2 linked regions of the Rattus norvegicus genome follow. The protein of the gene in region 1 interacts with the protein of each later gene in a biochemical or structural test. Links are inferred from orthologs where the notes say so. Each region holds a gene or a part of one and is shown on either strand. Other genes may lie near its edges.

Evidence for each region.
Region 2: the proteins of Kbtbd8 (region 1) and Tcof1 form a complex in vitro, tested with the Homo sapiens proteins (2 studies listed by BioGRID, with this or other methods). The link is inferred for Rattus norvegicus from reciprocal best matches to the Homo sapiens genes KBTBD8 and TCOF1.

Annotation. Positions count from the first base shown.
Region 1 is NC_086022.1:129,231,657-129,235,769, forward strand, and holds the start of Kbtbd8 (kelch repeat and BTB domain-containing protein 8), read left to right. Parts: upstream 1-1,307; 5' UTR 1,308-1,346; coding exon 1,347-1,362; exon of another isoform or gene 1,363-1,437; intron 1,438-1,891; coding exon 1,892-2,102; intron 2,103-4,113. UniProt on the Homo sapiens protein: Substrate-specific adapter of a BCR (BTB-CUL3-RBX1) E3 ubiquitin ligase complex that acts as a regulator of neural crest specification.
Region 2 is NC_086036.1:56,567,918-56,572,148, reverse strand, and holds the start of Tcof1 (treacle protein), read left to right. Parts: upstream 1-1,421; 5' UTR 1,422-1,547; coding exon 1,548-1,655; intron 1,656-4,231.

The DNA of each region.
Region 1 (4,113 bases):
GATTGAGAGACCATGCTTCACTGAATAAGGTAGAGAAGCAATGTTGTAGGATTTCCATCACCAATCTCCAGCCTCCATGTGCACCTGAACTGCCCCCCAAAAAGTACATCCACGCACTCATGCACGCACACACGCATATGCACACGCACATGCACGCGCGCTTATACACAAACACAAAATGGAAGAAAAACAATAAGTCAACAATAAAAACCCTGCTTTCTTGTAAAAAAAACAAAAACAAAAAAAAAAAAAAAACAAAACTATAAAGTAGACTGAATGCCGAATGTGGATTGGCGGCTGTTATACCTTAAGTTCAAGGGCTGGAAGAGCTTGTGCAAGAGCCAGAACTTGAGCATGGTCCAGAGGAGCGCCCAGGCTCAGCCTCTCTCCTACATCTCTTCACAAGAAAGCCAGAGGCCCTCTTCACAGTCAAGAAGCCCAGCGGAAATCAATCATCTAAGTCTCCCTCTAGTACCCGCTACTCTTTAGTGTGACAGGTGTTTTCTGGGTATGCTACAAATGCAAGCCAAGTGGATTCAGGTGCTGAGTGGCCGTGTAACTAGACCCCGGTTCATCTGTGGAAAGCAGGGCATGCGGCTCAGGCGATGCAATTTCAAGTGGGCGTCACAGGTGACTCATCAGAGGCCTACCGATATTTTCGAGGTGTGTGTGTGTGTGTGTGCGCGTGTGTGTGTGCGTGCGTGCGTGCGTGCGTGCGTGCGTGTGTGTGTGTGTGTGTGTGTGTGTGTGTGTGTCGGGGTCGGGGGTGCTTAGATCCTTTGATTTTTGGATAACAGCCTTCCTGACCATTTCCAACTTTTCCGGGTTTCATAGCCCTCGTGCAGAGCGCGTTTTCATACAGGAATCTAGTCCGGGATAGGGAATTAGGGGTATGAAGAAAATTATTTTTAAAACGGAGTCGAGACTAGGAGAGAGGCCTTAGCCAGGGAATTTTGCTCTATAAGAGCTTTTCCTACTTCATGTCTCAGAGTGACAGCTCATCTTAGCCAGTGGACTACATTTCCCAGCGGGTGCTGCGCATCTCACAAGCACAGGCTGGCGGGCTCGGGACTCTCCTCTGCCCAGCTAGCCAATAGAAATGCTCGGCTTGGTCCTCTGCCCGACAAGGAGCACGCGGGAACGGGGGCCTTAAAACTACATTTCCCGACACGCCGGTACAAGAATACTGACCAATCAGATTCAGGTATTTTGAGGCTCGGGGAGGAGCCGGCTTGGTCAGCCACACTCATTGGTTAGGCGGCCCTTAGTAGAGCCGGAACCCGGGAGCAAGCTAAACGCAATGACATTTCCTCTTTAAATAACCGGAGCCGGGGCCCCTTGGAGAAATGGCCGCGTCGGCAGGTGGGTGGCGTGGTACGGCCGCTGGTAGTGTCGGAGCAGGAGCGCGGGCGCGGGCCACGACCTGAAGAGGCGGCCGTAAGGCGGGAGGGAAGGATGGAGAGGCGGCGGGCGAGGAGGCGAGGATGAATGGGGAGGAGGGTGGTGGGCGGCGCGCCCGCGGAGATCGGGTGTCTGGGTACCGGCCGCCCGCGAGGCGGTTGAGGGGTGCCCTGGCAGTCGCCCTCGGTCGCGCTGCCCTCGGGAGGCTCCCGCCCCGCGCTCGGCCCGGAGCCGAGTCCCCGCGCACAGCCGCCGGCTCGGCTGGCTCGCCTCACACGCTCCCTCTGCGAGCGCGGCGGTCCGGGCTCGCCGGGCTCCCAAGGAGCGCTCCGGCCTGGGAACTTGTTCGCCCTTGTTGAGCTTTCGGCTCCCAGAGCCTATGTCGGCGGTCCTGTGCCTACACACGGGCATTTGTGTAAGGGTTGGTGGGGGGGGGGGAACCCCATAAACTGGCTTCGAACTTCTTGTGGTTGTGCGATTTTTCTCCTAGATTTAAGTAAGTCTTCCCCAACACCGAATGGGATTCCATCTTCAGACACAGCCAACGATACCATGGACCCTTTCCATGCTTGCAGTATTCTTAAGCAACTCAAAACAATGTACGATGAAGGACAGTTGACAGACATTGTAGTGGAAGTGGATCACGGGAAAACATTTTCCTGTCATAGAAACGTTCTTGCTGCAATCAGCCCGTACTTCAGGTATGACGACGGTAGAAACTTCTATTACTATCCGGACGGGAATCCCTTTCATCCCCAGTATTGCCCACTTAGTTGTGATACTGAGTTGGGGCAAATAAATGAAGGCAAGCAATGCGTTTATTTCCTGAGAGTAGATAACAGGGCTTGTTTTATTAATGAGCTCTTGTTTTGAGGTGGGATCCTAGAATTCAGATAGTTGGAGTTTTAGTGGACTTGGGAGGTGTTCCCAATATGGATGCTGCCGGTCACGTGAAAAAAATTAAAATGCTTTAAAATTAAATTCACCTATACTAAAACATGGCACCTGTACAGACAGCTACATGTGGCTGGTGACTGCTATACTGGTCAACGTGGATATACAGTGTTTCAATCACTGGGTCATTAGAGAACGATCTAGAATTTTAAATATCTGTGATGTGGTTTTTTTTTTCCGTTTGGTTTTTAGTACATAAAACTTTTTTTTTTTTTTTAGAGTTTAAAACATAGGAACGTGTTACTTTACAAGTAAACTAGGAATTTAGATTATTTTAATGCCATGGAGTTTTGTAAAAAGTAGTGAAATAAAATAAAGGTTAGTTATGTCTTTCCAGGATCCCCAGAAATAAATAGTTCATGCTTCCTTCACTCTTTTGTTCTATTTACTTTTACCATAAAATACTGAAAAGTGAAAGTTTTGGGTCTGAAAACTAAGTTCTCATTTAAGAACAGATGATTGGAATAGGTTTTGTTTCAGGTGCTCGTTTCTAAAAGCCCTTCAGCATACAAAAGTGGTTTGTGAATGATAGGAAGACTATCTAGTCAGCCATACTCTTGCGTTATCTCTTGGGGTGCTTATAAGGCAGGCATCCTACAGTCACATGTGAACAATTCTCCACTCCCACCCACCCCCACAGACACCTTTGAAGGTCCCACATACATAGGGTTTTTTTTTCCCTTAAGATTTTATTCTTTTTATTTATGTACATATGTGTGGGGGTGGTCCCTCTTTCTCAGAATGCTGGGGTGGATACAGTTAACATCAGTTCTGATACTTAAAACCTATTAGACTTGCCTTGGGTAGGTCACTGATTATTACAGGATAGAAAGCCAGAAAAAAAAAAAAAACATACAGAACCACTGCTGCTAGTCTTGTGTGCCTTTGAATATATGGCAGAGTTGCTCCTTATCAAACTCTGAATGAAGCTTGCTTGATATGTCTTGTCTTCTATAATCTTAATAAACTTATCTCTATACAGTTAATTTCCATTTGCATATGGAAAAATCCAGATGAGTGATACCTAAGTCATTCAAATGGCAGAACTATATTCTAAAATTAGACTTATTGTGTGACACTTAATGGAATGGGTCAAGTGGGTCTCCAGGTTTCTGATATTTAAAAAAAATGAAACAAAACTATATTCTCTTTGAATAGTAAAAAAAACATAAATAAATTGAGACTTCAAAGTAAACATCTCATTGAAACCTTATTCTCTAGAGGATACCATTATAAATGTCATGGATAATTAAAATTCGATTTGAATGCCTACATAAAAGAACTATAGTTACAGTAGATTTTAGTTTCTAACAGATCTTTAAAAAATGGTTTGAAATACCATTCACATAAAGATGTTGCTAAAGGACTGAAAAACTAAGTTCTCCTTTCTGCACAAAAGTTTCTTGGCTTCCCTGATGTGGGAATCGCAGAAATCATACTTAATTTTCAAGCCTTGCATTGCAGGGGAAAGACTCAGAACAGCTGGAAATTTGATGTGGCTGCTTCCTGATCTACTATGTGTTAAAATTAGAACTGAGAAGTTTTTGTTACTTGGGATTTTGTGCAAGGAAGTACTCCCAATGTATCAAGTGCATGAAGAACCCGTTAGGGAACTCGTCAAGGTATCAGACTGCTGCCCTGTTGTTAGCCTAGCCTGCTGAAGGCAGTAGTGGCCCCATGGTAAAGGGACATGAGATGATGTTCTCTCTTGGGAACCAGTCTGTACCTAAGCAAGGGCTACAGTTTTCTTTTTAATTG
Region 2 (4,231 bases), on another chromosome or scaffold:
CAAAGCCAAAATTTAAATCTAGATAGTGTGACTTCAGTGTACTTTTCAAACACCATGCCGTTCCACAGGAAAAGGTTATTCCATCCTTTGATGTATGCCACGGCTGTTCATTTAACACTCGGCCCTCTCGTTAGCCTGGGAAGCGCTGCGGGCGTACAGACCGTGTGGTCTCCAGTAGTAGGCATTCAATACAAATCTGCCTGATGTCTGAATGTAGATTAGTCTCCCGTGTCCTCACACAGCACATGCCACCTGCTCCTGTCACCTGGTCCTGTGTGCTTCTCCCTAGAATGTGAATGTCACTTTTCTTGTCCCTGTGGCCAGATATCACAAGAAGCAACTTACATTAGAAAGATTAACTATGGCTCACAGTTCACAGGCCATGACAGAAGGAAAGATAGGATGGCAGGAATATTGGTTACGCATCAGCAGGCCAGGAAACAGTGAAAGAAGAATGCAGGCACTCCCTACTCAGACACACCCACAGGAGTAGCTCTTAGGTAATTCTAAAGTCCAGTCACCACTAAGGATTTAATTATCATATGTGCTTATGTGGGTCCTAAACTTCAGTGGACATGTGTGTTGACCCAAATTCGTAGTGAAAGCTGTCAGCATATTCCCAACCAGTCCTTGAGGAACAGGTGCCTCAAATAGTCCCAGGCCACTCCCATTCTCTCCTGGTCACTGTACCCCTCAATAAACACAGTAGCCTACATCGGGATTTTTTTTTCTATATTTTGGACTTTCATCTTTCCAACTGTACAGCCTAGCAGTACAGGGTTGTTTGGGGTTCCCTTACCAAATACCAAAGTAATTTTCACATTCTGACTCATAGAGCACCTCCAGCCTGGCCTCTCCACAGTGCTTAAACGTCTCTGCTGTCTTTGAGGCTAATTTTAAATGTCTCTTGGGGGATAGGTGCCCTTCCTCCATGCTTCCCTGAGCTCTGTCTTCTCTCAACAAAGTGCACCAGACATCTGAACTGTAACTGCTAGGTTGTCTGCTGTGTCTCCCACCTGGGTGATTTTTGAGTCAACTGCTTGCTTTGTTTCTCTTTATATGCCCCAAGCCTAGCTAGGTGCTGTCCTAGCTCAGGTAAGGGTTTGTTTAGAGATTCAATACACCAGTGACAACTCAAGCCTTATTCGTGGGACCTAAACACTGTGAAATAAGTAATCGGAAGCAGGGGCCAGTAATCAGGAAGTTCAAAAATGAATAAAGGCGCCACAGGCATCAAATCTTTTCAAAGTGTAAATCAGAATTTAGATGCAGGAGACCTTTTTTTCTTTTTTTAAAATCATGGCCGCCCAGAGGGCGGATCCAGATCAGGACACGCCTTCGAGCCAATGGCAGAGCTGGTTAACCTCCATGGCTCAGCCCTCTTGGACCGGATAGCCCATTCCAGCGGCAAGACTACATTTCCCAGCGCGCCGCGCGGCCCGGTGACGCGAGGCCGGAAGTGAGGGACATGAGGTTCTAGGGCGCGAGGGAAGCGGCTAGCGGGGGCGAGGGGGCGTGCACGTGAATAGCCTGGCCGGATCTCTGGCATGGCCGAGGCCAGGAAGCGGCGGGAGCTGCTTCCCCTTATTTACCATCATCTGTTGCAAGCAGGCTACGTCCGCGCGGCGCGGGAAGTTAAGGAGCAGAGCGGCCAGGTAAGCGTCAGACGGCCCAGTGCAAGATCAAGGGAGCCAGTAGCCCGCGCCCCTCCCGGGAAACCCAACCAGCGCGAGTCAGAGATGTCGGCCAGGGAGCAGGAGGAACATTAAACTCTGCTCTACTCCGTGCGACTTACAGCCACCTCCCAGGCTCAGTTTCCCCATGGGTGCAGTGGGCGGGCCGGAAACTGATCCGACTAGCGCAGCTTTGTAATTCCCGCCCGGGTTCCCGGTAGCGGCAGGTTTACGTTTCCCTAGGATCTTGCCACGTGGCTCTATGTAGTTTCCCTGGGACATCACCTGGAAGTCCAGCTGGAGCAGATTGTCACCACTGTTGTTGGGAACACCGAGACGAAGGTCCCCTTAGTTGATGATCTAGCATGCAGGGCGTGCAGGCCCTTGGCTGTCTTCGGTTATGACAAGACTCGAACCCGTGGTGCACTAACTTCAAAGTTCATTCATTTGGCAACTTTTATTTGGCACTGAGGTGCAGATGATGAAATGGGGCCCCTCTGCCCGCCTCACAGCCTAGTAGATAGTACAAAAGAAACACAAAAGTGACTGTATAGTTAACTTTGTATTAAGCTGTAGAGCAAGAGATTCGAGGTGCGGAAACGTGGGTGGAAGAACCTGGGCGGGGAATATCCAGGACTGCTTCCCTGAGGATGTAGTAGTTGATCTGAGATCTAGAGGGAGATGGGTATTTAGATGCCAGGTTGGAGTGGGACTTCCAAGTGTCCTAGCCTCCAGAAAGTTTGCTGAGCCTGAAGTTTGAAATGCTTGACTATGGAGTCTCCCAAAAAGATAGAGGCAAAGCCGATAGGCAGGAATGGCCTATGGGTTGTCTTCCCAGAAGAACTGTGGTAACTGGTGAACTGGATATTGACCTGGAGGACCCCAGGTGTGGTGGCATCTGCCTTTAAAATCCCATCACTCCAGAGATTGAGGCAGGCGGATCTCTTGAATTCAGAGATAGCCTGGTCTACAAAGTGAGTTTAAGACCAGCCAAGGGCTGCATGGTGAGATCCTGTCTCAGAGAGAGACAGAGAGACAAAGAGAGCTTAAGCTGGAGTGGGGTGGGAGGGGTGGGGCACCCTGGTTTGACCTGTGCCTTTAATCCCAACACTCTGGAGGCCAAGGAGGGTTGGTTTCTGTGAGTTCAAGGCCAGCCTATTAAGTTCCAGGACAGCCCAGGCTACACAGAGAACCTCTGTTTTGAAAAACAAGTGAGTTCAAGGCCAGCCTAATAAGTTCCAGGACTGCCCAGGCTACACAGAGAACCTCTGTTTTGAAAAACAAAACAAAACAAACAAACAAACAAACAAACAAAAAAACGAACTTAAAGCCCAAAGGTTGCTGGGCCCTTAAGATGCTACCTATTGCTTTCTTAACCTTCCTGGAACTCCATGTCCATCCCTACTCAAACTATATAACTGGAAGCAGGGTATAGAGCCTATCACGTGGTTTGTGTGCCCAAGCAAGAGTGCCCTGCTCTCACAGAGAAGACACAAATACACACACACACACACACACACACACAGAGTTTGTGGCTAGCATGTTGTGGCAGGTGCTGACCATTATGAGGCTAACAAGTGGGATTCAGAGTATCAGCCTCCAGTTATAGCTAAGATGGTCAGAGAAGCTTTAATGGGGACCATGACCTTGGAGTAGAGACTAGAAGGAAATGAGAATAGGCTGTGTGGTTGGCAAGAGAGAGAAAGTTTCAGGGGCAAGAATGGCAAAGCCCTATTGGGAGCCAGTGGCCCGACTTACTTTGTTATGACACTAGGGTAGGGGCAGAATGAAGCTGACTGACTGGACTGTGCCCTTCAGACATGACAAGTTTTCTCTGTGTAGCCTTGGCTGTCCTGGAACTCTCTATAGACTAGGCTGGCCTTGAACTCAGAGATCTGCCTGCCTCCATCTCCTGGAGCAAAGGAGATACTCTGCATTTCCCTCTCACATTTATTGTTCTGTGAAGAAGGATCCTGAAGTTTGCAGAGAGAGAAGATGAACTGAGTCATGGAATAGGTGCTCTCCCTGACTCATGTTTAGGGGCTAGTACGTTCTTCCTTTGCACATAGCTCTTTGGAGTCCATTGGAGCTGTTCGGTCTTATGCACATAGAGTGCGTCCTCAGCTTAGGCCTGGATTCTACCTGTTTCCCTCTGTTTTAACTGCAACCCTAGCACCCTTTAGGCTCAGTCTCTTTCCAGACGTCCAGTGGATTCCACTGTGTCATGTGGAAGTTTTCAGGGTTTGGGCTATCTTATGTTTTGGAGTAGATTGACTAGCCAGGCCTTGGAAAACCATCCAGGGAGGTTAGGAAAGGAAAGCTCTGTCGTATGGCTTCCATCCCTGGACTGAGGTAGGGATGCTGGGTAATGCTAGTTCAATGCCTACCCCTCCCTCTCTCTCTCTCTCTCTCTCTCTCTCTCTCTCTCTCTCTTTTTTTAAGCTGGGGACCGAACCCAGGGCCTTGCACTTGCTAGGCAAGTGCTCTACCACTGAGCTAAATCCCCAACCCCAGTGCCTACTTCTCAAAGGTGCTTCTTACTGATATATCATGTTGAA